4 linked regions of the Kluyveromyces lactis genome follow. The protein of the gene in region 1 purifies or fractionates together with the protein of each later gene. This does not show direct contact. Links are inferred from orthologs where the notes say so. Each region holds a gene or a part of one and is shown on either strand. Other genes may lie near its edges.

Region 1 (8,277 bases):
AAGATGTAGATTATATCATGAGAAGAAATGCTATTGACTTTGCCCTTCCATTATTCAATGAGCCACAAACTGCTATGCTATTTGCGAAAGCTATGAGTCTGAAGATTGCAGAAAAGGTGAAGGTTTTGGAATCTAAGGATGTTATTGTTCCTCATGAAGTCCGTACCTGGAGTGAGTACTTACACTGCAAACCAATTTAATTATCCTTCAAATTAATCTCAAAATCAAAATAAATTAATAATAATTCTCTTAATTGGTATTACACCAAAAAGTTTGTATATACGAACATATTTCTTAATAATACATAGATGATAAACTTGATAAATGTTATTCGATTTTTCAACGATACTGTAGTCGTTGTCTCTAAGGTTGTAGTTAGAGATCCATAAAGAGCCATACAATATAGTTGAAAAAACCCCAGAGTTCACCTTTGATGTAAAAAAAAAAGAAAAGTGCCTTGAAAGATGCTAACGAAGTAGAATTGTATCTATCATATTAAATACCTGAGACGTTGATTAAGTCCCTAAAAGTGTAGTTATTGAGCTGTGATACGTTCATGCTTCCCTACAACAGTGTTCTAATATAGCAAATTACTGCTACCTTCGCTGATTAGGTTTAATCAGAAAGTGTGATTTGAGGCAATACCAAGACACTTCTGAAAACCTAGTTGGCAGTGCAACATGGATGAAAACGATCCATATGGCTGGTACCTGGAGGAACCCGATAATAGCGACTGGGAAACTGATGATACTCAGCAAATCATCAACTCTGAAATGTATACCAGAAGCCTACAACCTGAAAAACTGCCGGCTCTACCACCTATCAAGGAAATAACAGATGACAACCTTAAAAGAGATAGATCAGAACGTTCAGATTCGAAGATGGTGACAAATACAACATATTCCAATTCCAATTCAGATCCTCCTAATGAGCTTCACGGTATTAAAAGACAGAGAAAGTGAGGGCCGTATCACAGAGTTGACTATTTTCCTCTTCTTTCAATATAATGGGTGAGCGGTGCTTCCTCCACAAATCCATGTAACGATTTTAATGACATTGCGTAATATGTATATATACAAAATTTATAATCACAGTAAAAACTAGTACTGACTCAATACGTTCAGTGTTATATCCCAATGACTCATGAAGAACTGTTGTTATCGGTTGACATTTGACTAATTGGCAGAGGAAACAATAGCTCAAAAGGAATAAAAATTGGTAACATAAGGAAAGATGCAAATTAGATATAAGCCAGATGTAAAAGTTCAGAATTTCTTTGTAACAAAAGCAAATACAGAAGATAGAATTGTATTATTGTGCGCATTTCTAGGTGATCTATTAAGCTTTTGTTTAACCGCGTAACATTTGCTCATCGTATATAAACCACTAGAAATCATGGACAATACAGAAACATAGATGATAAAGTTGTTATAATTCTTTAAGGAACCATCACCGATGATAACACCTGAGACTGGAATTGCAACTAGAAATGAAAGACCAACGAAACAATACATTGTTGCATACCTTCTTCCAAACTCGTTTGTCCTTGAAATTTGACCGCAGCAGACTGGAGCGAGATTAATCAATGACCCATAAAACAAACCATAGACTGCGGAAAATCCGTACATTACCGAAGGACCTATGTTTCCGAAAGGTAACCAAAATATTAGCGGGACAAATCCTAACAAGAAATTGATCATGATCATGACGTTAAATCTGCCCATCACTTTATCAGCCAAAAAACTAAACATGTATCCCCCGACAATACTTAAGGTGTTCAAAATGGTGACAAGTAAAAATGAAGTATTCTCAGAATACCCTACCGTTGTACAGTAAGATGTGATATAGGTTAAAACGGCACCAGTAGATACCTCAGCCAAACACGAAGCTAAAACACAAAACAGATACTTTTGATCGGATACTATAGACTTGTAATCAAAGGAATCTCTTATGTTGTAAAGTAAATTCTTGTGGAAAGGAGTGCTAGCATCTTTCGGTTCGACAGCCGCACGTTTCTCGGGGTCTTCCTTGATTAAAAACATCGAAACAGTCAAACATACTCCACAAATTAAAGCCATAATTCTCATAGTCCAGGCGAACCCCAAATTTTTAAACGATTTTTCTAAGAATAATGGGAAAATAACACCACCAATACTCCCACCGTTAATGGCAACTGCAGTGGCAATAGCTCTTCGCTTCTGAAAATGGTGACAGATACATCCCAATAACGGACTAGACGTAATACCTGATCCTGTGCCAACGCAAACACTCAATGCAAGAATAAACTGCCACACTTTAGTACATTGTGCTACTGCCAATACACCCCCAACGGTCATTACTGTACCTATCACTAAAGGTTTTCTAGCACCATATCTGTCAAAATACATCCCACTGAAGACACTTGTCCCTAATAACAAACAACTCGAAACAGAGAAAATCCACGATACTGTAGATGTTGACTCATCCTTTAACTGGTGACGTGCAACGTACGTTTGAATGACACCTGCTGAAAAATACAACCCCCATGTAGGTAAAATACCTAAAAATGAGCCAAGAACAACTAGCCAAGCTGCGATCCCTCCCTCAGCATACGTAAAACCATCGTCATCGTAATCTGTATAGGCATCTGAACCTCCGTCATCATTATCAAAACTTTGGACGGGCTGTAGTTCATTTATATTTATACCTACTTCTGATCCGATAACGTTCTTCCTCGTCCTTTGTTCATTAATACCTTTCAACTCGATAGTTTCAATATTTGACATTGCAGCTTGTGTTAATTGCCCATCAATTCCCTTTACACCCATTGAATCGGATGACATATCTAAAAGAAGTTTACTTCACTCACACATGAGATATCGAAATGTTAACAAACCTTTAAAGACACCTCCCAGAATCCAATGCTATTCAACTGCGTATGGATCCTCCCCAAATATATATATGATATACTCCTGCAGTTGGCATATTCTTTTTTAGACTATTTTCCAATTTTTTACGTAACGTTCAATGCAGATTCCGAAGTTCCGGAGGAGACCATCAACGTCAACGTATTAGGTTTGCAAGTGACTCCATCTGTCGTATAATAATTTGTACATGCATAACCTGTATCAGACATAACGACAATGAACAGAGGAACTAGGTAGAGAAATTCTGGAATTGGCTACTCGAACCGGTTGTCAACTATATTAACTATGATTCTGAAGGTAAATAGTCGGTATTTGTCACGTGACTTTCCAGTGGAAGTAACAGAGGAAGCTCATATCATTTTTTTTTATTTTTTGAAAACTGTTCGTGCCCTTTCAGTAAGCGACAAAACCATTGCGCTGAGTTCTGGTGAGCTTATCGGAAAATTTTGAAGATCTCCATTTATTGCAGACCCACTGCCTCTTCTGGTATTTTATTGCGAAAGTCTTGAGGTTGTTCAAAAGAGCGGGTAACTTTTCGTATTTACTTTAGGCGCTGTTTCCCAGTTTCAGACATTCAATACCTCAGCTATTTGAGGGCCTCCATGAAAAGTGACCGGGTAACATAATGGGTGGCCAAGTAAGAAGCTAATGCAGGTGATGCAACATGCCAACGCATTTGTGGGGACATCTCACATCTAAAATTAAACACATATTACCTGTCAAGCCGTAGGTGAACATTAACAGGCATTTGGTTACTTATCTGTGGATACGGAATACATGCACTTGATGCTGAACTGTTGGGCGCTACCAAACTTAATAGCACGTGACTTCTCCTAATTTTGCAGGTTGTCATAACCAAAATAGATACAGCAAGCCCATCCGCTCAAGAAAGAGGACATGAAATTGTGATGTTTTTCTTGCTAGATCATAATGTTTGTAAGATTTTGGAAGAAAAGACTCAAAAAGACTCCGTTTGACTGCTAAATTCTGGGCAAACTGGAAAGTACCGGGCTTTTCTCTGGAAGTGTAAGGTATTACTAAATTAACCGGTTACTGTTCGCTCCACCCGATCATGAGAGTTTACAGAAAGTTCTTACCTTGAAACTTTTTTACTGTCACCCTTTTTATCACTTCGAGTAAAGCTTTAAATGACATAATTTACAATATAAATATGGATCATCTCACCTGTCATCATGGTCTTTTAGGAATTGTGAAGGTATACTAACCAATTGTTACTCTATGATCTATCCGAAAATCCGCAAACTGCATTAGAGAAAAGTACAATCGAATTGCAATGACCAAAACAGATGAACCTAAAAAGCCGAATTTCTTAATTATTGTCGCCGATGATTTAGGGTTTACAGATGTGTCGAGTTTTGGAGGTGAAATACAAACGCCAAACCTTGATAAATTGTCTAAAGGTGGTTTCAGATTCACTGGTTTTCATACTGCATCGGCATGTTCGCCAACTAGATCGATGTTGTTGAGCGGTACTGACAACCATTTGGCAGGTTTGGGCCAAATGGCTGAATATGCCAGGCAATTTCCAGAAAAGTTCAAGGATAAACCTGGTTATGAAGGTTATTTGAACTATAAGGTTGCTGCATTGCCTGAAATATTATCCCCAGAATATTACACGCTGATTTCGGGGAAATGGCACCTTGGATTAGAAAAGCCATATTGGCCAAGTGACCGTGGATTCCAAAAACGTTTTACCTTGCTGCCTGGTGCAGGAAACCATTTCAAATGCAATTTGGATAGCAAGTTTCTTCTCCCATGGATTTATCAGGAAAATGGCGAAAGGGTAGACCATAACAAGTTTCCAGAAAACTTTTATTCCACCACTTACTTCACAGATAAATTTTTGGAATATTTGAAGGATGATGAAGAAAGAAAAGGTCGCCCATTCTTTGGCCAGTTGACCTACACAGCTCCACATTGGCCATTACAGGCTCCTGCTGAGACTATCGCAAAATACAAAGGTAAGTATAATGGTGGTCCCCAGGCATTGAGAAGACAAAGATTGGAAAGAGCTAGAGATCTTGGTATTGTTCCAGCTGATGTTGTTGCTCATTTAGTAGAAACTCAAAGAGAAAAGACTTGGGATGAATTAGATGATAAGGGAAAGGCCTACGAAAGCCGTATTATGGAAATTTATGCCGCGATGGTTGATGAATTAGACCAAAATATCGGTAGAGTTATCGATCATTTGAAGGAAACCGATGAATTCGACAACACTGTCATCATGTTTATGTCAGACAATGGTGCTGAAGGTATGTTAATGGAGGCATTGCCGTTTGGAGGTTCCACTTTCAAGGAAAGAATATCGTCCGATTATAACAACGATTTTGACAACATTGGTAAAACAAACAGTTTTGTTTATTATGGTGATTTGTGGGCTCAAGCAGCTACTGCTCCAAATTATATGTATAAAATGTGGGCAACTGAAGGTGGTATCAATTGTCCTCTTATCTTACATGCTCCACAATTAACAGGACTATGGGAACCAGGTCAAATCATCGACCAGTTTACAACAGTTATGGACATTTTACCTAGTGTTTTAGAATTGGCTAACGTTCCTCATCCAGGTACCTCATTTGAAGGTCGCAAGGTGCACGAACCAAGAGGTTTGTCATGGATTCCTTTCTTAAAAAAAGAATCCGAAAGAATATATGACGATACCAGGGTCACTGGTTGGGAATTATTTGGTCAACGTGCCATTCGCCAAGGTCCTTATAAAGGTGTGTATATTCCACCCCCATTTGGCCCTGGTCACTGGTTACTTTTCAACATTGATGAAGACCCTGGTGAGACTACAGATTTGTCCAAAGAGCACCCAGATATCTTAGAAAAGATAATTGATCACTGGTCTGTGTATAAAGCAGAAACTGGACTCATCGAATTAGAAGACTCTGTCTTCGATAATGCCCATTATGTGAAAAGAGTACTTGATGACTATTAATCGTTAGCTATATCAACTTAAAAATCTCTTAGTTTTGAAGTTGCAGCTGCGTTCGAAAAGCAACATCAGTTACACCAATCCGTATTCGAGACCCAATATGAAAAGGGTATGTTATTCGTTACTCATACGCTTGTCGTAGTTGTATCATTTTATCTAGGCAGAAATAACCTATATATAATAGATAATTCTATTCATTTCAAGCTACGTCGTTTTCAATGTGTTGATTTTTTTCGCAATTATTTTTACTTCGAGCTCATCGCATCTATAGGAAGAAGAAAAAAATTATCAAGATGTTCTCATGTGCATTATATCTGGTCTTAATTTTGATGAACGATGGGTTATACCGTTCTGTCCAGACACAAATAATCATACGTCAGACCGATAACAGCAATCAAAGCAATGTTTGAACTACCTCCATTATCTGGTGCCGTCGGTGCCACTGTTGAATCTGGTGCTAAACTAACACCATCCATTAGACGTCCTATTGAACCAGTTGGTAAATTCTTCTTGCACCACGCTCAAAGAACTTTGAGAAACCACACATGGTCTGAGTTCGAGAAGATTGAGGCTGAAAAGAATGTTCAAAACGTTGAACAGTCCAATGTCGATCCAGACGAGTTGTTGTTCGACACTGAGTTAGCTGACGAAAGTTTGTTAACTCACGACGCAAGAGACTGGAAGACTGCTGACTTGTACGCTGCTATGGGTCTATCCAAGTTACGTTACAGAGCCACTAACCAACAAATTATTAAGGCTCACAGAAAGCAAGTCTTGAAGTATCACCCTGATAAGACTTCTGCCTCTGGTGCTAGCTTAGACCAAGATGGTTTCTTCAAGATTATTCAAAAAGCATATGAAACTTTGACTGACTCCAACAAGAGACCGCAATATGATTCTTGTGACTTCGAAGCTGATGTAGCTCCGCCAAAGAAGGGTACTAACTACGACTTCTTTGAAGCTTGGGCTCCTGTTTTCGAATCTGAAGCTCGTTTCTCCAAGAAGAAGGATGTACCAACTTTGGGTGATATGAACACTTCCAAGGAAGACGTTGAAAAGTTCTACTCTTTCTGGCACAGATTCGACTCTTGGAGAACATTCGAGTTCTTGGATGAAGAAGTTCCTGATGATTCTTCCAACAGAGATCACAAGCGTTACATCGAAAGAAAGAACAAGGCGGCCAGAGATAAGAAGAAGACTGCTGACAACGCTCGTTTGGTGAAATTAGTCGAAAGAGCCATGAACGAAGATCCACGTATCAAGCAATTCAAGGAAGAAGAAAAGAAGGAAAAGGAAAGAAAGAAATGGGAAAGGGAAGCCGGTGCTAGAGCCGAAGCTGAAGCCAAGGCCAAGGCTGAAGCTGAAGCTAAGGCTAAGGCTGAAGCGGACGCTGCTCAAGCCGCATCTGCCAAGGTTGACAAAAAGAAGGCCAAGGAAGCTGCTAAGGCTGCTAAGAAGAAGAATAAGAGAAGTATCCGTAACGCTCCAAAGGATGCTGATTACTTTGGTGATGCCGACAAATCCACTACCATCGAGGAACAAACTGGTTTGATTGTCGACTCTTTGGACGACGAACAATTGGTTGACGTTGCTGAAAAGATCAAGAGTGATACTGCTGCTGCTAAAAACATATTGTCTGATGCAGCAAAGGCTTTGACTGACGCTGGGAAATTACCGGCTGCTATTGTCTCTTACTACTTATAAATTTAAAGATGAGATCAGTTCAAAACCAGCCCAGAGGAAATATATAGCATATAACATAGTCTACTGACATTGGCTCTGCTATTTAACCCTTCGATTTATATATATATACCAGTAAAATCTGACAGCTACCTATTACTTCGGTTTCCAGGAAAGTCAGATAGTGGTATCGCTTATATAAATACCGACTTTAAGATGGTATAAAAGTAAAATCCGAATTGCAAGCAGAAATGAACAAATACTTCAAGCGCTTACTGGTTTATCGTAGCATCGGGCTTCATACATGGACTGATGTGGTAAACCTCAAATAGTATGAAAATTTTAGGTTATACTATATATATACGGTAGTTCAACGTCCAGTATTGATCAGTACTGAAAAATCAAAAACAATAACAGTGTGGGAGAAAAAAGGACCCAACCTAAAAGACAGATCAGTTTTTTTTTGCAGAGTACTGGAACCAAACGAGAACAGGTGTGAAAACATAGTGAAAGTTCAGTGGTAGTGGATATCTAAGGAATTGGAACCTATTTTGCGAGCTGCCATTACTTGTGTCGTTTTGGAAGTATAGCTCACCGTAATACCTGTGCATAGTATTTTCTGTTTGAGCGCAAAATTCTAATTGGTAATACTGAAGCGGAATACCATTGAACGAGCCATGTCTTTTAGAGGTAACAATTTGGATACGTTTCCAACAGCAAAGCCTGGGTTCC
Region 2 (9,094 bases), on another chromosome or scaffold:
ATTGAAGAGGGTTTGAAAAGGTACGCTTTGATATCTGCATTGCAGGATTCGAGATTTACACCAATCGAGCGGGAAGAATTGAGCCAGCTAAGATGTGGATGCAATTTACTCAGTCAGTTCAAGACTATTTATAGCAGTGAGGGCACAGGCAATAGTGGTGATATTTGGAATTGGGAGATTGGGAAACATGGTATTGAGATTAAATTCAGGCATCCCAAGACCAATTCTCGGATGAGTGCTACTTTTTTGCCAGAGGTAATCCCAGAACAAGGTTGGGACCAACGAGAGACGTTTGAGAATTTGATCGAGAAAGCGGGATGTTGGAATTATCTAGAGGAAGTTATGAAACATTGGGAGAAGTATTTCGATGAGGTGATCCGATACGAGGGAACAAAATCCGAAATAGCATGGGATGAGTTCGAGACAGGGTTGTCAACTGTCGCTGAGGCCGAATAGATTGGTGATGGGCACTCGCACACATTTTTATACAACTGATATAACTGATATAACTGGGAATACATTGGGCATGGGTAATATAAGTACATTAAGCGCCCCATTCAATCGAAGGCGTGCGAATCACGTGATACAGTCACATGATCCGAAATCCAGTTCCAATAGCGAATGAAAATTTTTTCGTGTTATAAAGAAGCAAAGAAAGGCACTGCGCCCCAATTAGGCAACGAGAAGGTCTCGACCAGTAAACACCACATACAAGAAGGCACAAGTGAAACACCAAAAGAGTCCAGATGCGAAATATCGGTTCCTTACCATATCATAGTGTGCCATGCGAGTAACGGCACGAATAGCACATGTAATAGCACCTGAACGACACCTCAAGATTTGATCATGAACTGAGACCGTTTTGCTACTTTTCCAACAACAGTATAGATTCAGATACAATATGAGGTGTCAGGACTAAATAGCTAAACAGAATATGTAGAATAAAAATCAATTACCAGTACAAATACGGAAACCATAGTAAGCTGTAGAACCTTCACACTGCCCGATTCATAAAACTGGCACCTACAATCTACAACTGGCAAAAGACACTTCCAGATCTGGCATCGGCCAACTCTATTCCTTTCTTTTCTGGTTTCTCATCGTTACCAGATCTGGATCTGGCCTGCTTTGGTACCCTTTTTTTGGTGTGTGAAATCTGCTCTGTTTTAGGTAAACCTATTGAATGTTGTTCCAAACAGGGCATGCTGCTTCCTTTCACACCACCCTGACTCTTTACGTTCTACAGGGATTGATGAACTGACAGCAATGAATACCCTATGTAGGCTATTCAGAGACCCGAATTGGGCAACCCTTTAACCCTTTTCGACATTAGAACCCTCATCCATTAATCAAACATCAATAATAGTACGTTCTTTGTATATACTATTGTTCTAGTTTACTTAGTTATTAGTTGTCTGCCTCCCGAGGTGTTTTAAGTCCCATGCCCTGGCAGTGTAGACACACATTGCGCCGGTGTTTAGCATTTGTCTATTTGGCATTCCTTTTATACTCTCGTATATATTTCTTAACATATATATATGTGTTAATATTCTTTGCTGGTTTCAAGATTTCGTGGTTTAAAGCTAGTATATATATTACAAGAGGTCTTATTTCTTTCTGTCTGAGATTGAAACACCAGGCGCGTTTTATATTTTTTAAAGAACCAGTACCATCCTTTGTCACAATGAAGCTGTCCAATGCCACTCTTTTATCTCTTGCAGCTACTGCTATCGCTGCCCCAGTAGCCACTGTTACTGTTCATGAACACGTTAGACATACCGTCATCGTCGAAGGTTATGTCTACATTGATGGTACCACTACTTCTACCGGATACAGAACTGTAAATGGGCAATCCGTCGAAACTGCTGCCCCAGCCACCGAAACTGACACGGCCGCTTTTGTTACTCAAGTTGTTGCTGCCGGTGCTGCTGCCTCTCCATCGTCTCAAGCTGTCGCTGCTGAGTACGTCTCTGATGAAGATACCACCACTACTGGTGCTCCATCCACCACATCCACTGCTGAACAAACTACTTTGACCCCAACTCCAACCATCGAGCAAACTGCTACCAGTACCCCAGCTACCACTACTGCAGCTACCAGTTCTTCCAGCTCTGACTCTAACCTTTCGTCCTTCGCGTCTTCAATGTTGGATGAGCACAATGCTAAGAGAGCTCTACATAAGGACACTCCAACTTTGTCCTGGTCCGATGAATTGGCCTCTTACGCTCAAAACTACGCTGATGATTACGACTGTTCAGGTTCATTGACTCATTCTGGTGGTCCATACGGTGAGAATTTGGCCATTGGTTATGGTACCACTGGTGCTGTCGATGCTTGGTACAGCGAAATCAAGGATTACAGTTTCTCCAATCCAGATTATTCCTCTAGCACCGGTCATTTCACCCAAGTTGTTTGGAAATCCACCACCAAGGTCGGTTGTGGTATCAAGCAATGTGGTGGTGTATGGGGCGACTACATCATCTGTTCCTACGATCCAGCTGGTAACATGCTAGGTACTTTTGCCTCAAATGTCGAGCCATTGGCTTAAACCCAATCTCATTTCGGATATTTTTGAAACAAATGTCAAACATTTGTCATGGCTCTTACCCACAATACAAATACCAGTTTTATATTTCAGGACAACGAAACAGTTTTTCAGTTCTCAGACAGGAAGATGGTAGATTATCGTTTGATTATCCCGGTCGTCTGCTGGCGTCACTATCTTATTTTACTCTAGAATTCAGTCCGTATTTTTTAGATACCTTTTGTCGTTTTATGTATACGTTTTTATACCCTATCAGTTTTCTTGCAAATTCCATACAATCCTGGAACACAGAGCTATCGGCAGAGCTTGCAACTTGATAGCTTATAAACAGGGCCATTAATGTTTCTGGTTTTCGAATGGCTTAAGTATCTATAACCCTTGAGGCATAATTTTTCAGATAGATAAACTTCGGAAATAGAGCAACACCTGCCAAATGAATCAGGTTTACTGGCTCATATTGGTGGTACTAATCCACGCAAAAATCTTGTGTCATGCACAGGGTATAACAGTGACAAAATACAACACTGTTCGAATAATAAGAACGAAAACCGTCTCAACGACAACACATTTCACAACTTCAAGAACAATTGTTTACAGAACAGCCTCCGGCACCTTCACGGAACAAGTGTCCACAAAACCAACGGCCACGGACCCGGATTTCAAAACGGAAATCCTGGACGTGCACAACTCATTACGCAAGAAACATCAGGTTTCATCGCTAGTTTGGGCTCCAGAACTTGCATCTAGAGCACAAAATTTCGCCAATTCTTACGTATGCAACGGGCAATTAGAACACTCAAAGCTGCCTTACGGAGAGAACCTTGCTCTAGGATATAATACTACCTCAGCTGTTCTAGCATGGTATAACGAGGTAAAACTGTACGATTTTAACAACCCACAGTTCGCAGCAAATACAGGACATTTCACCCAGCTGGTATGGAAAAATACCTCGAAACTTGGCTGTGCATTTATACGATGTGGCCAGTATTACGGTCAATATACAGTATGCGAATACGACCCACCGGGGAATGTAATCGGAAAGTTCAGTGAAAATGTCTTACCCGAGAAGTAAAATAGAAAACTGTCCGATGACAGAAGACTTGATAAGCGTTGGTTGATTCTTTCCCTTGCAAATCACGAACTCAGGGTAACCAACACTTCTCCTTTCTTTTCACGGGCTTTCACACGATTTGGATCGTTGTTCTTTTCGAAGCTTCGACAATATGAAGAAATAAGAAGTGAAATTCAGTTAGAGAAAAGAAGGTTTAAAATATAAAAATAGTTAAACTTTGAATCATAGATACCGGTTTCAAGCCACCTAGATTAGCCGAATAAGTGAATTGTGGGATCAATTGGTGTACTATAGAATATACTCAACCGTTTTTCTGTATCATAGTCGTGTGTGTTTGCTTTTTCTCTTTTATTTCCTGTGCTTAATACTCAATCACTCACTATATTGAATATTAGTTAAGGGTATTTGTTTGTTTGTTACTGATTTTTTAGTTTTTGATTTACTGCTTTGTTATAACCGGACCTTCCTTTATTTTCAATAATGTCTGAAATCACTCCTGATGTTGCTGAAGATTATTCTCAAATCGTGGTAGATACGCCACCTTCTTCTGCTGATGATTCGTCGAAATTAGCTGGCCAAACAATTGAACAAACTGAAAAGTCTAATGGTGAAGAAGCTGCCACTGCGCCAGCGGTCAAGGTTTTATTTCCAAGATTGGGAGGAAATGCTGCTGCGTCTGCTTCTGGCAATGCTGTCTCCTGGGGGTCTACTCTGAAATCAGGTAGCTCCGTTAACAGTGTCTCTTCTCTTTCCCATGGCAAAAACGGACGTGCTTCTTCACCTGGTTCTGCTAAGCCATTGCGTTCGAGAAACATTCAGGAAGTGTTCTCGCTAGACTTAGATGCACAATACCAAATCACAAAGACCGAATTCTCCAGCATCGTTCAGTCTGTTAAACAAAAGTACGATGTCTCTGTGGAATCCACACTATCAAAGACTTCGCGTACTTTCTTGATCTCTGGTTCTTCTGACAAGATTGGTCTTGCTAAGAGAGAGTTGGTCAAGAAGTTGACTAAACCTGTCAATGTGACTTTTGAAGTTCCTTCAAAAACTAGATCTGCCATTATCGGATCTGGTGGTAAGACCATCAGAGCAATCTCAGATGCTGCTGGTGTAAAAATCGTGGTTCCGAAGGAGGTTGATGAGGGTACCTACGATTCAGATTTGGAAGACTATTCAGTAACCATCTCTTTACACGGCGATGCTGAATCTGTTCTCGTTGCAAAGAGTAAGATCTTGGACGTCGTGAAGGAGGAAACTAAAAACGCCAAGATTGTTCTTCCTGTCGAGGACTCCAAGTTGGTTCCCTTCATCGATCTAGAATCAGTTGAAATTCCAGCTGATGTAAAGGCGCAGCTGTTTACAAACAATGACCCCGCTGAAATCGCATTAAATGGTCCTCGTGATAATGTTAAATTGGCCAAGGTTAAGGTGATCAACTATTTGAACGAATTGGGTCTAAAGATCGTGGTGAAAAAGGAAAAGGTCCCATTCAAATTCCATCCTTTGGTAAAGCCTTCAGAATTGAATGAGAAGTTCCACGTCGAAGTACAAGCTCCAAGTATTTCCGGCGATGATCAATTCGTTTTCATCGGAAGCTCTGACAACGTCAATGAGGCCATCGTGTACGCTAAGAACTCATCTAAATTCCATACCGTGGAATCATTGGAAATTTCAAAAGCTCATGGTAAAAACGTTAAACATGCTAAGAACTTGATTCTATACTTCCAAAAATATAACGTCTTAGATCAAATTACCGAAGACTTCCCACAAGTGCAAGTAGTTTTACCTAAAGTGGAAAGTATTCCAGCATTGGAATCCGTCAGTATTACCTTAATTTCAAACAACGATGCCGCAGACGCTATCAAGACCGTTCGTAAACAAATTGTAGCTTTGGTTAATGAATTATCTCCAGAACAAACGTTAACTATTTCAGATTTGGATTATCATCTATTCCACAAGGACATCAAGCAAATCTTGGTCTCGACTGAAAGTGATGTCCCATTCATTCAATTGGGTGACTGTTTCCCAGGTAATGACGATATCTTACTAATCACCAAGATCAATGAAGATGATTTCAAGCCATCTGATGATGAACTAAAAGTTAAGCTGGAATCGGTCAACCAACAATTGGAACCAATCAGAAAGAAGCAAAGCCTTTTAGCATCCAATGTTGTTTCCCTTGCCAAAAAAGAACAGGATGAACTACTCGGAGAATCAAAAGTCACTTTGAACTTGATCAATGAAGCTGTTTCTCATGCTGGCGCTCATGCTTTAATCAAGTTGAGCACCCCTTCAGTCAACCAAATTACTATCAGAGGTGATGACCATGGATGTAAGATTGCTTCCGCTGCTGTCAAGTCCATCGTCGAGAATTCATCAACAGAATCCAAGATCACATTCCAAGTTCCAACCAATGTAGTTTCGAGATTGATTGGTCCAAAGGGTGCTAACTTACAACAAATTCGTGAAAAGTTTGACGTTCAAACTTTCATCCCACAAGATTCTAAGGATGAGAATACCGATGTTACATTGACCGGTTTGCAATACAATCTTGACCAAGCGAAAACATATATTCTAGCAGAAGCTAAAAAATGGTCCGATATTATCACTAAGGAATTAATCGTCCCTATGAAGTACCACCGTACATTAAGTGGACCTCAAGGCACTTATCGTATCCGTTTGGAGAACAAGTACTCCGTTTTCATCAGATTTCCTAAGGACAGTGAGTTAGTCACCATCAGAGGTCCATCTCGTGGTGTCAAAGCCGCTTATGATGAACTGAAGGCTCTTTTGGACTTCGAAATTGAAAATGGCCATAAAGAGCTTCTCAAAGTTCCAGTCGACTATGTTACTAGAGTCATAGGTAAAAGTGGTGAAACTATCAACGATATTAAGGCAGAGTATGGTGTTGAGTTAAACTTTTTGGACAAAACCGACAGTGAAAAGGCTAAGGAAGCTGGTGAAGTCGAGTTGGAAATCACTGGTTCTAGATCTAGCATCAAAGAAGCTGCAAACAAAGTCAAATCTATCATTGATCAAGCATCAAATTTTGAGACAGTTACTCTGGAAGATATCGACTCTAAGTATTATAGCGATATCATCGGTCGTAGTGGCTCCCAATTGAAAGAAATTATCAGCAAAGCTGGTGGTGATGAGATTAGAAACAAGAGAGTCAATATCCCTGATGCCTCTTCTGAAGACAAGGTTATCACTATCTTCGGACCATCTGACTTTGTGAAGAAGGTTGTCAAACAAATTAAGGGAGTTGTTTCTGGCTTAGAAAACAGCATTACCGAGGAGCTAAATATTCCACAAGAGAAGTTTGGTGCCTTGATTGGTCCAGCTGGATCAGTAAGACGTGAATTGGAGACAGAATTCAAAGTAAGAATTCATGTTCCAAACAAGAACAGCTCAGATGAAAAGGTCACTGTTTCTGGTTCTCCTGCTAATATTGAATCTTGCAAGAAGAAAATCGAAAAAGAAATCATCAGGGATAGTTTCGACTTGGAAATTGCTGTCCCTGCCAAATACCATTCATACGTTTCTAACTCTGGTTTGATTTTCCAAACGTTAAGAAACGAATTTTCTATTGATGTTTCTCATGGTAACTTGACTAGAACCGCACAAAGTTTATCTCGTGCGAACTACAAGGTTCCTGAAAATGTCGCTGGTGGTGAAAATGAAAGCTCCAACGTCCTCATTCAATCTGTCACAGAAACTGAAGCTAAGGTTGACACAATCCCATGGAGATTAACATACTCACCAATTGACTTGAGTGATGTTTTAGGTGAAGACTATAAGAAAGATGAAGAAAGCAAAGATCAAGTCTTAGAAAAAGCGTCCAAATTGATAGAAGACAGAATCGCCGAGGCTAAACTTGTTAACACCGAAGGTTTCGTTTGGTCCAAGGATGCAAAGAAGTTTAACTCTATTGTTGGACCAAACGGTAGAAATATCAGAGAAATCAGAAATGCCACTAAAACTGTTATCCATGTTCCAAGAAAAAGCGATAAGGTTAACAATGTTATATATGTCCTAGGCTCTGAAGAAGGTGTGAAAAAGGCAGCTGAATTGATCTGCAAGAGATTAAAATAGTTTTAATGTTTTCACTTTGTCCGTTCCTTTGATCCAATTCTTGTATTTATTTCCTCTATTGGTGTTCAACGCTGCACAGATTAGCACTACATAAGCTTACATTAATACCACATAATTAATCATGTATACTGAATACACTTAAAACCTATATCAAAAAATGTAAACAAAACTATTTCTTCAAAATCCTCGGTTGTTCCTCAATGTTAAAGATTTATACGGGCTAGCGTGTGTTTCATGGTTATACGTAAACGTATATATATATTTATTGTGGCCTGAAGATCTATATGCAGGCATACGAATAAAGCCGTCTTCATGAGCAACAAGACTGTGAATCATTTGTACTTGGTCTTTGCAATGATATATTATTATTATTAGGTTTCTTCGATTCCTGTATCTTATCTTTGTTCTGCAAATATAATCTTTCACCAATATCTTGGAAGACTTTGATTACGTTTTCTCCAGTCTTAGCACTGACCTGGTGGAACAACAAATTATTCTCTTGTGCAAACTCGCGTGCGTCCGCTTCATCGACTAAAGAGGTCGATTCCCTTTCAGATACTAGATCCAACTTATTCCCCACAAGACAGATGATCAACTTATCGTCATTTACCTTTTCTTTCAATTCATCAACCCAAAGCTTGGCCTTAGGCAAAGAATCTGGTTCAGTGACATCGTACACAACTAAAGCGGCATTTGCATTACGATAGTACATAGGTGCCAAAGATTTATAGCGTTCCTGACCGGCCGTATCCCAAATTTCAAACTTCAAAACTTGTTCATCATACTCTTCAGATAATTTAATAGTTTGTGAAAGAAAAGCTGCACCTATAGTCGATTCCCTGTACTCATCAAACGAGTCTTTGACGAATCTATGAACAATACTGGATTTTCCAACAGAAGAATCTCCCAACAATACTAATTTGAACTGAAGCATAATTTATGGGAAGTAAATTGCGATATTTTAGAAAGAATCAGCAGTATAGGAAACCTGGGGTTGATATTGGTGAATGCTCGAAACAAAATGTCCAATACGACTTCTACCCGCGGTTACTCGTTCCAGTTTCTCTACTTTTTTATCTTTTTATCTGGAAGGGATGAAACCTGTTGATTCTGAATTTAAAGGTTTCAATGACTGAAAGCCTTTAAGTTGGATAATACGAATTGTCGATCACGTGATTGGTAATTTGAGGGGAGTTCGTGACGTTTAAAACAATGACAAGAGGCTGATTTGGTTGATAAATATAGTTGGGGTGTGTATTGATTAAATAGAATAGAATAAATAGTAGCTAACATTAATCGAATAGAAGTGAAATGAAGTGAAGTGAAGTGAAGTGAAGTGAAGTGAAGTGAAATGAAGTGAAAGAAGTATCGTGCGCATG
Region 3 (7,752 bases), on another chromosome or scaffold:
GCACAGTCTCAGCAAACCACCAAGACTACAACCAGAGTATCGACGACTGCTCATAATAATAACAAAGTTTCAAAAAGTTTGCCCTCAGTGCCTCCATATGTTGCAGATTCTGTCAGGAGGCCACAGACGACAAATCCATTCGACGACGAATATGTTGTATCGATTGCAGATCCAGAGTCTCAGACGCCTTCCACAACATCACTACATTCATCCTTTGTGTCATCTTCCACCGATGAGGGTACACATGACACTGAAATGTCAGTTACTTACGATGAAAACCCACAGAACGCTCACGGATATTTAACGGAACTAATCGAACACTGATCTTACCAAACTCTAATTACAAAGTTTTCAAATTTGTACTTAAATTTTCCCTTCTATTCAATATACTTCTTTGTGCATCTTCAGTTATATAGTTCATATTTAAGGTTTAATTCCTAGCAATTCCACACTAACGCTTTTCTAATTTGTGATCTTACAACCCGTCAAGATAGTCGGACTTCAATATCTTCCTCCACACAGTAGAACCATTCCTTATATCTTCATGCCCGTTCACGATGATTTATATTTCCTAACCATCGAACAAAAAAATTTTGATAATCAAACATTGTACAGAAGAAGGATTGATCAAAGTAATAAAATGCCTACAGTATAATACTAGAGGCACGTGTAAATTACATGGTTAGTTGCAGGCTCTGTCATCAGTTCAACCTATATAAAATTTAATGCTATCGAGGACAGTAACTAGCCTGTTCGGCTTGGGAAAGGCTTCCGGTGTAAGAAGTTTTCAAGCTTCAGCATTGCAGCTACAAAAATCTGCACAAGGTTCGCTATTCGGTGAAGTCACCGATGGAGTGAATCCGTTGAAGGATGACGATCCAAATAAACTATCTAATAAGTTGACTACTGCTACCGAACTGTCAGATGATTTGGATGCTGCTACCCAGCTGGCAGAGGCTAAAAAGAAAGTTACAGCAGCCAATGATACACAATTACAGAAATATATCGAAGAACAAGACCCCATGATCAAAAGTTTACCAGAATTTTTGTTACCAAGAGTTAAGAAGGAATTCTATGAACAACAGGTTAGGTTGAACGGTGGGTTTTACGACAAAAGCGTGCGCCCTAAAGATCGTTCTTTGAGATTAACGAATGAAGAATTAGAAGTGCTTGAACCTAGTGTCTATGTTAAATCTTACAGAGTAAAATCATCTATGAAGAAGGCCACACAGCTGCTTAGACTTTTGAACGGATTGGACGCTAAGAAAGCTTTGACTCAATGTCATTTCTCCGATAAAAAGGTTGCCCGTGATGTTGCCGAATTATTGGAGCGCGGTATTAATGATGGTGTGAAGCTTGGCTTGGATGCCAATGACCTATACATCTCCCAGATATGGACCGGCAGTGATGGATTTTGGCAAAAACGTGTCGAATGGAAGGGTAGAGGTAGACGTGGTCTCATTGAACACCCATATGTGCATATCAAATGCATATTGAAGACCAAGAGTGTAACGAAGAGAAGACTAGAGCACGAAGCCAAACTAAAAGAACAAAGGAAGAAACCGTGGGTTCAATTAGCAGATAAACCCATCAGAGGTTCTATGGGTGGTGTTTACAAATGGTAATGAGATATTAAACATTATCATATTACGTTTATTTCCAATGATAATGGGTGAAGATAATATACAGCAATTAAATCATCAATAATAAGGTCCTTAGATTGTCTTTGGGTTTCATCTCAAGTTATCCATGTCGGAATAGCCAAGTATTTCATATCATTTATATAATATATAGAACAAGAGCTTGTAAATAGTGAAAGCAACGCGAAATACTTCACCGCATCAAACTGTAAGGAAACAAATTTCGTCTATTTCTTCTTCTTAGATTCCGTTTTAGCTGGTTCAGTAGTTTTCTCCGCCTTCTGTTGGTTAGCGGCAGATTCCTTCAATTGGTCTTTCCTCCATTGATCTAATCTTTGTTCATATTCCCAGGTACTGTACCACAAACCTCCTTGCAACACTAAGACACCAGCAAAGACAATTAAAATAATGATATTGGAAGAGGCAACAACAGCAATACCTTGCGCCTCAGAGACTTCACCCCAGTTATGGTAAACCGCAGATTCAACACCGGTCTTGATATTTGTTAAGAAAACACAGATACCCAAAACGTACAAAGCCAATGAACCGTATTCAAATAATTGCAAATCTGGATTTGGCTTGTATACCCTAATCAAGGAACCAATGACTCCCACAATGGCCACCGCACCAAGCATATAAAGGGTTGGCTTGGCCGTGTAGAATAGAGTCTGGTAGTGTTTCAAAGCGTTCTCAAAATGCTCCGGCGTGGCAGCAGGATTGAATAGGATATTATAGTCATATGGTTGATTAGAAAAGAAGATCCCCATCAAAAAAGTAGTTGATCCAATGATCAATGCTGTACCTACAGCACAAAAATCCTTATAAGTTAGGCCCATATTTACTTTCAGTCAATGTGTTTAGTGAGCGATACCTACGTTCTCTTAAAAATGGAACGTATAGACCCTACGTGTGGTATTAAATGGTTAACAATTCATCTATAATTGAGCCATTGGTTTTTTCAGTACGCACTATATATTCTCTTTTTTTTTAATAATTTACATGATTTTTGCCCACCGAATTTTTTTGATTAGTATGAAAGATAAAGGAACTGAAAGGCGGAAAGGCATTATCGGAAGGCGCTATCGATAAATCATTTTAAAAATCCATTGATAAAAGCAGGACGTTTTAATCGATGTCATCTGGGCATAGATTACTTATTTTTAAAAGAATTGATGAGTTTCTTAATATTTATACATATAAGAACGGTATTTAATAGACTAATTAATAATATAGAATCAAACAGATATCAATTGATTTAAGCAGATTCAGCAGCTTCAACTGGTTCAGTTGGTCTGTAATCCTTGACAGAAGGTTCCAAAACTGGTTCTTCTTCCTTTGGTTCGATGATGGTAACAGCATCTGGCAAAGCCTTTGGACCAGAGGTGTTTCTAGATGGGTCCTTCATGATCTTAACCTTAATACCCAAAACACCTTGTCTCAACAAAACGTGTCTGGTAGCGGTTTCAATGAAGTCGTTGACTGGTTGACCGGAGTGGATCAAGAAACCGTCAGCGAACTTCATGGACTTGGCTCTAGCAGCTCTCAACTTACCGGAGATGACAACTTCACAACCCTTGGCACCAGATTCCATAACGTATCTGACAACACCGTAAGCAGCTCTTCTGATGGCCAAACCGTTCAACAATTTGAACTTCATGGATTCAGCTTGAGCAACAGCGGACAAACCACGGTCATGGACTCTTTCAGCGTATAAAGCAATGGTACCACGCTTGTACTTGAATCTCTTTTCAATCAACAAGGTCAATTCGTTGATTCTTCTACCATTTTCACCAACAACATCTTGAACCTTAGTAGCTCTGATGATAATTTCGGTCTTGGTTGGAGTAACTCTGACTTCGACACCAGAGTAACCTTCTTCAGCCAATTCTCTGGTGAAGAATTCGTTCAATTCGGCGTAGAAAACACCGTCAGCGACAAGCTTTCTCTTCTTGGAGATAATGGCAACCATTTTTACTTTATTTGTTCGTCGGGGAGCTCGAAATTATAGGTGATAATAAAACTAACTAAAGTAAGTATCTTGTATGTCCAATGGCACTTATGTTCATAATGAACCAGATTGTAAAGCGATGATGAGAACAATATTCGTCAAACCGTCCGAATCGCTGCGATTGGTATGGTGAAAATGAAAAAATCATCTGAAAGACAGTATTTACTCACCAACACATGTGGTGTATGGGTTAATGCTTCAGATAAATGAACATTTTCAATGAGATAAGTACCCAAAATGGCAATGCAGAAAAAATTGGAAAAAAAACTAAAACAAAAATGTCCGGGTGAGCAGTCCCAGGAACATATATTTTCAAGTCACCTGGTAAGCGTAGAAAACTCGCCGTAAACAGAAAACTTCAAGACCGTTCCTCCATTTCCTAATGGGGAAGTTCCTAAATAGGATTTATACGCGAGATGTTCCACCCCCTGCATTGGTTTATGTGAATACTCGAGAGCCTTGTGGTAACTCGCATCACTTAGGAAACAGACAACACAATTGTTTCAACGAATAATAAAATGGGAAATAACATAGGAATTCCAGACAATGTTGCAATCACGGCGTGTCACAGCTGCATACTTGTTATTCCGAAAAGAAAGTACGTCAATATTGACCGGGTTTTAGCAGGTATATGACCCAATATTGCTTCGGGTAATTACAGGATGCCGTTTCGTTTTCTCTCTCTCTCTCTGTTTCTCACAATTTGAACGAAAAAAAAGAATAATATTGGGAGCCAGTACACCTGCAGAGGGTACAGCGAGCACACTCGAATATACGGAATGTACCAGAAATGCCTCAACCTACCTACCCACTACAATCCATTATAACAACTACCTTTTCATGTTCCTAGTAAGTTTTCCCTAAGGCCAAAAAAAAAAAAAGAAAATGAAAATCAGCTACTTGCTCACTCGAAACAAGCACATCGATTGGTGCAACTTGTGTGAATAAAAAGAAAGAACCATGTAGGTAGGCAGCTCATTTTGTAAATGGTTTTCTGAGATGTTCGGACTCCTGCACAGCCTTTATAATGGGCCAATCAATTCCACTTTGTAACTTACTAGTTCACTCGTAGATCCTTTTACTGGTTGCCTATACAGTTTATTCCGTCTACCGCACAAAGCACAAAACTGCGCTATTCACTCCATTTCCTAGAGCCAGTACCTAAGAAATCGGTAAGACGACCATTTCTGATTGTTTTCAATTGACAGTCTACACTGTTTGGCCTAGTCTGGCGTCCGAAACAGCAGCAACGTTCGTAGTGTGCGATTATCTGAATGAGGAAATAACAGACCCCACTGGCCCCACTTATACCAGTGGCCACTTCTGACCGTCAAAAATGCAGCCGAGCTTAACCAGTTATGCTGTTTCCAATATCGACTGCATTAGCATTCATTCTACCTAGCGCGTCTCGATATTTTTTCATTTTTTTTTTCCTTTCCGCTTTTATGATCCAGAGCCCATCTCAGTAAATTCTCGTTAATCTTATATATAGCGTTACTGATCAGTTGATAACCTAACGCTTGTAGGTAAAATGTAATTGTAAGCGGAGTATACTATATATCATCTTCTTTCCGAAAAATGTATTTGTTTATTTTCGTCTTTGGTCAATTGAGTTCAAACTGTAACTGAATTGATATTCAAAGTCATCTGTTCTTATCGCTTTGTTTCAATTCCCATTGAAAAGGTTCTTAATTTTGATTTTAAGACGGAAAAAAATAAACCAAAAATTGGCTTCTTTCAAGACAAAGAAATCAATCAAAGGCCATAAGTTTAAACTTTAATCGACAAGGGGATCCAAATATTAAAGTAGGACCCAACCACAAAAAAAAAAATAATCATAATACAACCTAACTATCGGAGAGATGAGGTCTATTAAGTGTGTGATCGTAGGCGATGGTGCGGTCGGTAAGACATCGTTATTAATTTCGTACACTACGAATACTTTCCCACAGGATTATATCCCAACTGTTTTTGATAACTATTCGACTACCATTGCTCTTCCGGATCCATATAATCCGGATTCTGAGCCTCAGATTTTCAAGTTAAACCTGTGGGATACCGCTGGTCAAGAAGAATATGACAGACTGAGACCTTTATCGTACCCTCAAACTGACATATTCCTAATATGTTTCTCGGTAAATGAACCTAACAGTTTTGAGAACGTTTACGATAAATGGTTCCCTGAGATTAAACACAGTACAAATTTCGAGAACTTGGATCTTTATCATCAAAGCGGGAAATTGCCAATCTTATTGGTTGGTACCAAGGCCGATTTGAGAGATGATGACCATGAACGTGACCGTTTACAAGAGTCTAACTCCGACTTTGTTTCCCAACAACAAATTCAGGAATTGGTTAACAAATTGGGGTTAATGGGTTACGTTGAATGTTCTGCTGCCACTCAGGTAGGTGTCCGTGAAGTTTTCGAGAAGGCTGTCGACTGCGTTGTATTTGAACCGGACAGATTAGTCAGAGAATCTCTACAACAAAAGCAACAGGCACAAGATTCTCAACAAAAACCAAAAACAAAACAAGTTAACAAGAAAAACACCACTGCTCAACCTGAAAGCAGTACAAAACCTCAAAAGTCAAAGAGATCAATCAAGCGTAAATGTACTATTTTATAGAGTGGATTCATTTCCTTTTTTTTTTTTTGTTCCTTACTTCCTGGTTTTCCTATCGTTCGGTATACGTTCTGTCTATCGGTTTTCTTCCCCTCCTTCTTCCCTTCTTTCCTTCAATGAACTTATTATTCAATGACTATTATAATTCACGTTTTAATTTTTTATCTTTACGTTACTGACCAGGACTAACCTGTCTGGTGGGTGCCATTTATGTCTTTCTTTTCCTTCGTTATTTTACGAAAAATCGAAAAGTTCGTTCTTATATACATGATGTATGGGATAAGAATAATGCTGATGTTTAAATATCCTGTAATTTTACCTTATAAATTTCTTGACGCAACTACGTAACGTTAAGCATTACTTCAAAATTCGTCGGATTCCGGAAAGTGCTAATCTTTTTTCGTTGAGGCCTTCTTTGGATTTGGTTTTGTGTTCTTTTTCTGATCCTTTGTTTCCTTCTTGCTTGCCTGGTTTCTTTGAGCAGCCATCTTCTTCTCCACAGATTCAATCTGTTTGATTGTGTTTTCGTAAAGTTTCTCTTGAAGCTCTTTATCATAAAACTCTTTCCTAGCAAAGTTAACAATTGAGCAATTTGCAATATATTTCACTTCATCGTCTGTTCGGTTCACTTCTTCTAGCTCAGGAGTGGTTATGGAATATATAATTGTTTGAGCACCACGATAGCCGCTTTTCGTTAGTAGCCACAGGAATGGGTAAAGTATTACGCAATAGAGAATCAATAGTAGTAGGACAGATCCATTGCTTACGACCCTTCTTAGACTTGGTGACCTCATTAGACCAGGCTGTACAACAGTAACCGTGACATTTTTACCACTACGACCATCTTTCGCACTATTGCCTGCCTCAGTGATCAAGAGCCGTTGTAGATGTAACATAGCCAAGGACAGCTGAAGTTTTGAACTGCTAAATAACTCTCGAGAGTTTTTGAATGGTGCGTGCAACCACAATGGATCTTCAACGTTGCATTTACCCATTGCCTGCAAAAAGCATGTTGTCACGATAATTCTGACATCACGATCTGGAGGCTGGGCCTTGAAACTAGGTTTCATTAGATTCAAGAGATGGAAGACACCAGCGTAGTTAGTCGCCATTTGGATTTCAATGCCATCTGTACTTGTTTTCTTCTTCCTCAAACCCCATGGTTCACAGTCGCCACTCATCACTATTATACCGTCTAATCTTCTAGGAGGCGCATTATCCAACCATTTCGTGGCGAACTTTCTGACTTCAAACAAATCACTTAAATCACATTGTTCTAAATAAATCAACTCATTGCCCGTTAGCTCCCTCATCTGTTCACACCATTCCTCTGACCACTCGTCAATTTTTCTGCAAAGAACAATCATTTGGGCGCCTCTTCTGGCCATATCTAAAACAACAGACGTACCCATACTTTGGGTCGTACCACCTGTCACAATATAAAGTTTACCATGTAGATTACGTTCCCATGTATTGCTTG
Region 4 (5,903 bases), on another chromosome or scaffold:
AAGAGAGATGTAATGTAGACGTCTCTAAATGACAGTTATATTGTACAGTAAACATGATTAATATTATAGGTAAATACTTGCTTTGATTCTTTTCATAACAATATGCACAGGTGGGAGGGTTGAAGGTAAAATAACTCGAGGTAATTTCTATCAAACTTAATCATCTTCGGCATCCATCAATGCATCAAACATGTTGGCAGCGCCACCAGAAGATTTAGTTGGAGTTGGAGCTTGTTCTTCCTTCTTTGGCTCAGAATATCTCACTGATGACGATCTGGTAGTAGTGAAACCGTCTCTATTTTGATTGTGACTGTGAGAATGAGAGGAGAAATCTCTTCTAGAAGAGTTTCTCTCGCTATTCATACGTCTGGAACCACCTCTGGACCCATGGCGATCTCTTTCTCTTTCTCTTTCCTCCAAAGCCCTCTTCAAGGCTTCTTCTTCGTGAATTTGAGCAATGGTCTTTGGACCATCGTTCTTATTTTTACTATTCCAGTTCCTCTTTTCTCTTAGTTCGACAATGTCGATCAACTTAAACTTGATTCTGCTGGAGATGTCACCATTTTCGATCACGTTCTTTATTTGGTCGAATAGTGTGTCTAGCAAGCTTGAACCCTCAATGACAGCTTCTGCAGTAACTTGAATACGAGCACCTTCGAACTGTTCACCAATTGTTTCCAAAAGTTCACATACAGACTCTAGAGTATCTTCAGTAGGAGAGTTTTGAATATCCTTCATTAGTCTCTTGAAACAGAAGAAGACCATTCTGGAAGTCAATAAGTTCGAACGGTACAAGAAACCAATGAAACGAACCAAACCCAAACCTCTTCTCTTAGCGGCAGCCATCTTATAGTATTCATCGGACATCATTTCAGGTTGTAGAGGAGTACCGTCTTCGTTTGTAGGTAGTTGATCAGTCCATCCTGTTTGGAATTCAGTTTGACATCTTTGGACTAAGTAATGCAAAACCAAGTGAGAACCAGTCTTATCTGGGGTTTCTGAGTCTTTAATGCTATCATCTAAGTCTTTAACGACCTTACCACATAATTGCGCGTACATTGATGACCAATGAGGTTCATCGCAGGCCTTATTGAAAATTTGTTGGATGACAATCTTCAAAGTCTCACCCTTTTCTTCCCATCTAGATTGGTTAGCGATCTTCATGATATCATCAGAAATAGGTTCGAACATTTCTAATGTCAATTTATTCAGCAATGACTTCATCTTTCTTGATGCTTCTTCCGCGTCGTAAAGTTCTGTTCCGTCTGGAGCTAACTTGACTTCTGTTTTCTTCATCTTAGATTTAGGAACCCATCTATTAGCACTTGGGACCAATGGGGCAACCTCAACCTTTGGCTCTTCGACTTCTTCCTCTCTGAATCTTTCACGGTCCTTTCTGGAAGTGTATGATCTATTAGATTTTCTATCATCCCTCTTTGACTTCTTCTTCGAGTTGGACCTGGAACCCGATCTGCCTTCACTTCTTAGAGATCCAACCTTACCCTTACTAAATCTATCTTCGCCTCTTCCGCTTGAACCAGGCTTCTTAGGAGGGATGACAATTTTACTCGTCATTTCAGCCATCCACGCTGGATCGTATTTAACATCGACCTTTTCTTTGAACTGATACAAGAAATCAGGTCCGTATGCATATTTAATGCTTGTCTTTTTATATCTATCATTTGGAGGCGTAATGTCACTTGGGTATTGGAAGGAATAAATATCATCAACTGGAGAAACCTCTTTCAACTTCTGTAGGAAATCGGTCATGGTAATCTTTCCATCGTCTTCAACTTCAGCCTCTTCTCGAGGTTTTGTTTCAACATCAGCAGGAGTTTCAACGGGACCAGCAGGAGCCGGTTCACCTTCTTCGGCGTTTGCTTCAGTTGCTGTTTCTTCAGTTGCTGTTTCTTCAGTCTTTGGTTCTGCAGGCTTTGATTCTTCCGATTTTGGTTCTTCAGTCTTTAATACCTCGGTTTTTGGCTCTTCAGTTTTTGATTCTTCCGACTTTGGTTCATCTGACTTTGGTTGTTCAGTCGTCGGTTCCTCGGTCTTTGGTTCTTCAGGCTTTGGTTCTTCCGCCTTTGATTCTTCCGCCTTAGGTTCTTCAGTCTTTAGTTCCTCGGACTTTGTTTCTTCAGTCTTTAGCTCCTCGGTCTTTGTTTCTTCAGGCTTAGATTCTTCAGTCTTTAGCTCCTCGGTCTTTGTTTCTTCAGGCTTAGATTCTTCAGTCTTTAGTTCCTCGGTCTTAGCAGAAGCTTGCTTTGCAGCTTCCATCCTCTTAAGTCTCAATTTTTCGGCCAAAGTCAATGGTTTTGGCTCAGCTGGAGCCTCTTCCTTAGTCTTTTCTTGTGATTCTGATTGAGCTTCTTCAGACTTGGCAGATTCAGTGGCTGTAGGCCCTGTCTTAGTATCAACGCTTGCATCAGTGTCAGTTCCAACGACAGATTCCTTCGGTTCCTCAGGACCCTTCTCTTCGACAGCCTTCTTAGCAGCTAAAGCAGCCTTGCGTCTTTTAACTTGTTCCAAGAAATCGTTCACAATTAAAGTGTCCTTCTTTGGTTCTTCAGGCTTAGCTGGAGATTGTTCCTTACCATTAGCAGCAGGGCTCTGTACTTTGACAGCTGGAGAAGCTGATGGAGACACAGAGGATGATACAGCAGCAGCGACGGTAACGTTAGCTGGAGGCGACACTACTGGAACTGCACGCGAATGAGATTGAGAATGAGAATGAGTATGTGGATGAGCAATGGAAGCAATATCTATGTGTTCACCAGACTTGTTAGTAATCTCAACCTTCGCTGGTTTAGCTGAAACAGCAGCTGGAGACACTACTGGGGGGACATAACCTTGTCCGCTCATTGGAGTCTGGTAAGCAGCAGCGTACAGCTGTTGCTGCTGTTGGTACTGGTTATAGTACAGAGGGTTGTACTCTGCCGATACGCCGTAGTTCGGAATGTATCCCGCAGAAACACCGTACGCTGGTTGGTTATACTTTTGATAGTGCTTATTCGAGGAAGAACCATTATTATTGTTGTTGTTACCTCTTTGGTTATAAGGCCTAGAGTTCTTCCTGTTACCATCATATTTCCCATTTCTAGGAGCACCGCTTCCAGCAGTATTCTTGACATATCCACTGTTTTTTTGCGGAGAACTGGTTGTCTCCTCCTGCACAACTGGAGCTTCAACAGCTGGTTGCTGATCGGATGTAGGTTCGCCCATATCTGCTTTGAAAAACCGCTCTTTCTCTCTTCTTCAGATGAAATTAGCTGGATCTAAGCTCTTTTCTGTTTAATTTCTCTCTTGTAACCGAGTAATCCAGAGTACCTAGAGAAAACGAGTCGAGTTATATAGAAACACGAATGAGTAGAATGAAATTAAAGTCCAATTCTTAACTCTTTCTCTTTAAACAAATAAACGAAGAACAAAAAAAAATTATCACTTTCTTGTGAGATTCTTTTTTTCCCAGATTTGTTTCTTTACTGTCCACTGTTACTCTCTAACAATTCAAACAATACAAGTGCTGATAAATCTATTGACTATCAGATCAGCAGTAGCTCTCTGTGCCTCTTTTCCTCTATCCTGTTTTATGCAAAATGTGCTATCGTAATGGTAAAATTCAATGGCTTAAAGGTTGAAATTTTATTTCAAAAGATTCACAGCTTTTCCTCTTTACAATGTAAAAATTTTTTTTTTCTTCTTTCGTGTATATTGAGAAGATTGACATGATGGTCAAGTTTATGACGAGATGAGATGCGATGAGGGGGAAAAAGAGAGGATCTGATTAGAAACATATTGACACGGGGGTACAACCACAGGCGTGTGTTGTACGTGGCTTATGTATAATATGTAGGGATGTATCTAATGATATGCGCTGTTTGAGATGAAAGGGGTGAAGGATCCTTACTTGAACAATTTTGCTACAGAGATAGCAGTTTCGTCGTTCTTGTTCATGACCTTGGCCACGGCTAGTTCAAAATCTTCTTGGGTTACGTGAATTCTACGTTCCCTTAGTGCGTACATACCAGCCTCGGTACAAACACCTTTAACGTCAGCTCCAGAGCATCCGTTCATCTTTTCGGCGACTTTCCTTAGGTTAATACCACGGGTCAAGTTCATCTTTCTTGAGTGGATTCTTAGAATCTCTGTTCTAGCCGCTACGGTTGGTGGTGGGAATTCGATTTTTCTATCAATTCTACCTGGTCTTAGCAATGCAGGGTCCAATATATCCAATCTGTTTGTAGCCATGATGATTTTAATGTTTTTCGAAGTTTCAAACCCGTCCAATTGATTCAACAATTCCAACATGGTTCTTTGCACTTCGGAATCACCACCGCCAGATCCTTCAACACGACTGGAACCGATAGAATCGATTTCGTCCATGAAAATGATAGAAGGCGCATGTTCTCTAGCCATCACGAATAACTCACGGACCATACGGGAACCTTCACCGATATATTTTTGCACCAATTCGGCACCACTTACTCTGATAAATTTACAGTCTGTGTGATGTGCTACGGCTCTCGCTAGTAAAGTCTTACCAGTACCTGGCGGACCGTATAGAATAACACCTTTAGGTTGAGCGATACCAAGACTTTCGAATAGTTCTGGGTGTTTCACTGGTAATTCAATGACTTCCTTGATTTCTTTAATCTGCTTCGTTAACCCACCCACCATATCGTATGTAGAATCAGGTACTTTTTCGACCATCATTAGAGACACTAACGGATCTACCTTGTTCTCCAACACCTTATGTAATTGGTACGAGTCACTCTTCAAGCATACACGCTGTGATACTTTCAAGTCCTTGACGTTGATATCCTTAGCAACATCAACAATATATTTTCCTTCAGGCTGAACTTTCACCAAAACTTTTTTCTCACTGATAACTTTCAACACTTCTCCCACGTATGATCCAGATTCCTGCAAGAGCCTCAATTCATCCTTTATAAATCTGACCTTATCATTCAACGCATTTCTTTGAGCCTCTAGTCTACGCAAATTCGATGTCTTTTCTCTGATCCTAAGCTCACTTTCCTGGATTTTTTGGTCAAAGAAAGGCTTGATACCAGAGTCATGGCTCGTCAAAGGAATACTCGAAATTTGTACAGCACTCATCCTTTACAGTATAGGTTAGTTTTTCTTTAGTTTTTAACGCTTCTCTTATTCTTTTTAATCCCAAGAGATAGTTTACTTTCTAGTGGCAATTATAAGGAATTATGGTATCAGTACCTTCTCAAATGAATGATAATTCGTGTCTTCTATCTTAAATACCACTATTGGATCGGAAAGCCCTTGCAATTTGTGTTTGCCACTCGTTTTACTCTAAGATTGTGTTTAAAGATTACAGCTTTTCAACGTTTATAATGCCTTAAATTTTAACTTTCAAACTGTAAGTCCTTAAGTATGAGCATGTCCGTTGAAAATGATTATGATTTCAGTAATCATCACAAGCATAGCTAACCAGATCTATGCAGGTTGCAAGTAGTCGTGAATAACATCATCGGCGAGGTGCGGTTCGCCGAATCGATAATTTAGATCCAAATAGAGAAAACAATGAATAACACTGTTCTTGTAACTTGCGGAGCTACTGTCTCTTTCCCCAGACTGGTAGAAACAGTACTTGATAGATCTGTCACAGAGAAGTTGAAAGTTTTAGGGTATGGCAGAATTGTGATCCAGTACGGACGTGGGTTTAGTGATACATTTTTACAACTAGTAGAGAAGCACCTAGGTCTGTTTACGGAGAAGAAGAGCTGTGGCATCAAGGTTTTGGATAAGATTGAAAACCTTAAAGTAATCTCTGTGGATGGAATAGAGATATGTGGGTTCGAGTTTTCGCATGACATCGAGAAGTTGATTGCGAATAATATAGACTTGGTGATATCACATGCAGGTACAGG

Evidence for each region.
Region 2: the proteins of ZUO1 (region 1) and SCP160 purify together in Saccharomyces cerevisiae (affinity purification with mass spectrometry; 3 studies listed by BioGRID). This does not show direct contact. The link is inferred for Kluyveromyces lactis from reciprocal best matches to the Saccharomyces cerevisiae genes ZUO1 and SCP160.
Region 3: the proteins of ZUO1 (region 1) and RPS3 purify together in Saccharomyces cerevisiae (affinity purification with mass spectrometry; 3 studies listed by BioGRID). This does not show direct contact. The link is inferred for Kluyveromyces lactis from reciprocal best matches to the Saccharomyces cerevisiae genes ZUO1 and RPS3.
Region 4: the proteins of ZUO1 (region 1) and KLLA0_A04730g purify together in Saccharomyces cerevisiae (affinity purification with mass spectrometry, with the first as the bait; 3 studies listed by BioGRID). This does not show direct contact. The link is inferred for Kluyveromyces lactis from reciprocal best matches to the Saccharomyces cerevisiae genes ZUO1 and TIF4631.

What each region holds. Positions count from the first base shown.
Region 1 is NC_006042.1:288,806-297,082, reverse strand, and holds ZUO1 (zuotin), read left to right. Parts: upstream 1-6,267; coding exon 6,268-7,569; downstream 7,570-8,277. Other genes in the region: carbamoyl-phosphate synthase (glutamine-hydrolyzing) CPA2, read left to right, coding at 1-200; KLLA0_F03179g (DUF5137 domain-containing protein), read left to right, coding at 681-962; KLLA0_F03168g (uncharacterized protein), read right to left, coding at 1,266-2,822; KLLA0_F03146g (arylsulfatase), read left to right, coding at 4,201-5,868; protein ERV29, read left to right, coding at 8,223-8,277. UniProt on the Saccharomyces cerevisiae protein: Component of the ribosome-associated complex (RAC), a heterodimeric chaperone complex involved in regulation of accurate translation termination and in folding or maintaining nascent polypeptides in a folding-competent state.
Region 2 is NC_006040.1:201,067-210,160, reverse strand, and holds SCP160 (Scp160p), read left to right. Parts: upstream 1-4,097; coding exon 4,098-7,715; downstream 7,716-9,094. Other genes in the region: KLLA0_D02464g (uncharacterized protein), read left to right, coding at 1-456; KLLA0_D02442g (CAP domain-containing protein), read left to right, coding at 1,442-2,548; KLLA0_D02420g (CAP domain-containing protein), read left to right, coding at 2,979-3,617; Rab family GTPase YPT52, read right to left, coding at 8,026-8,649. UniProt on the Saccharomyces cerevisiae protein: Involved in the control of mitotic chromosome transmission. Required during cell division for faithful partitioning of the ER-nuclear envelope membranes which, in S.cerevisiae, enclose the duplicated chromosomes.
Region 3 is NC_006040.1:702,730-710,481, forward strand, and holds RPS3 (40S ribosomal protein uS3), read right to left. Parts: upstream 3,610-7,752; coding exon 2,896-3,609; downstream 1-2,895. Other genes in the region: TDA7 (Tda7p), read left to right, coding at 1-324; MRPL22 (mitochondrial 54S ribosomal protein uL22m), read left to right, coding at 726-1,625; SHR3 (Shr3p), read right to left, coding at 1,868-2,476; Rho family GTPase RHO5, read left to right, coding at 5,511-6,275; PBR1 (putative oxidoreductase), read right to left, coding at 6,662-7,752. UniProt on the Saccharomyces cerevisiae protein: Component of the ribosome, a large ribonucleoprotein complex responsible for the synthesis of proteins in the cell.
Region 4 is NC_006037.1:421,707-427,609, forward strand, and holds KLLA0_A04730g (uncharacterized protein), read right to left. Parts: upstream 3,223-5,903; coding exon 157-3,222; downstream 1-156. Other genes in the region: proteasome regulatory particle base subunit RPT6, read right to left, coding at 3,904-5,118; N-acetylglucosaminyldiphosphodolichol N-acetylglucosaminyltransferase catalytic subunit ALG13, read left to right, coding at 5,557-5,903. UniProt on the Saccharomyces cerevisiae protein: Component of the eIF4F complex, which interacts with the mRNA cap structure and serves as an initial point of assembly for the translation apparatus.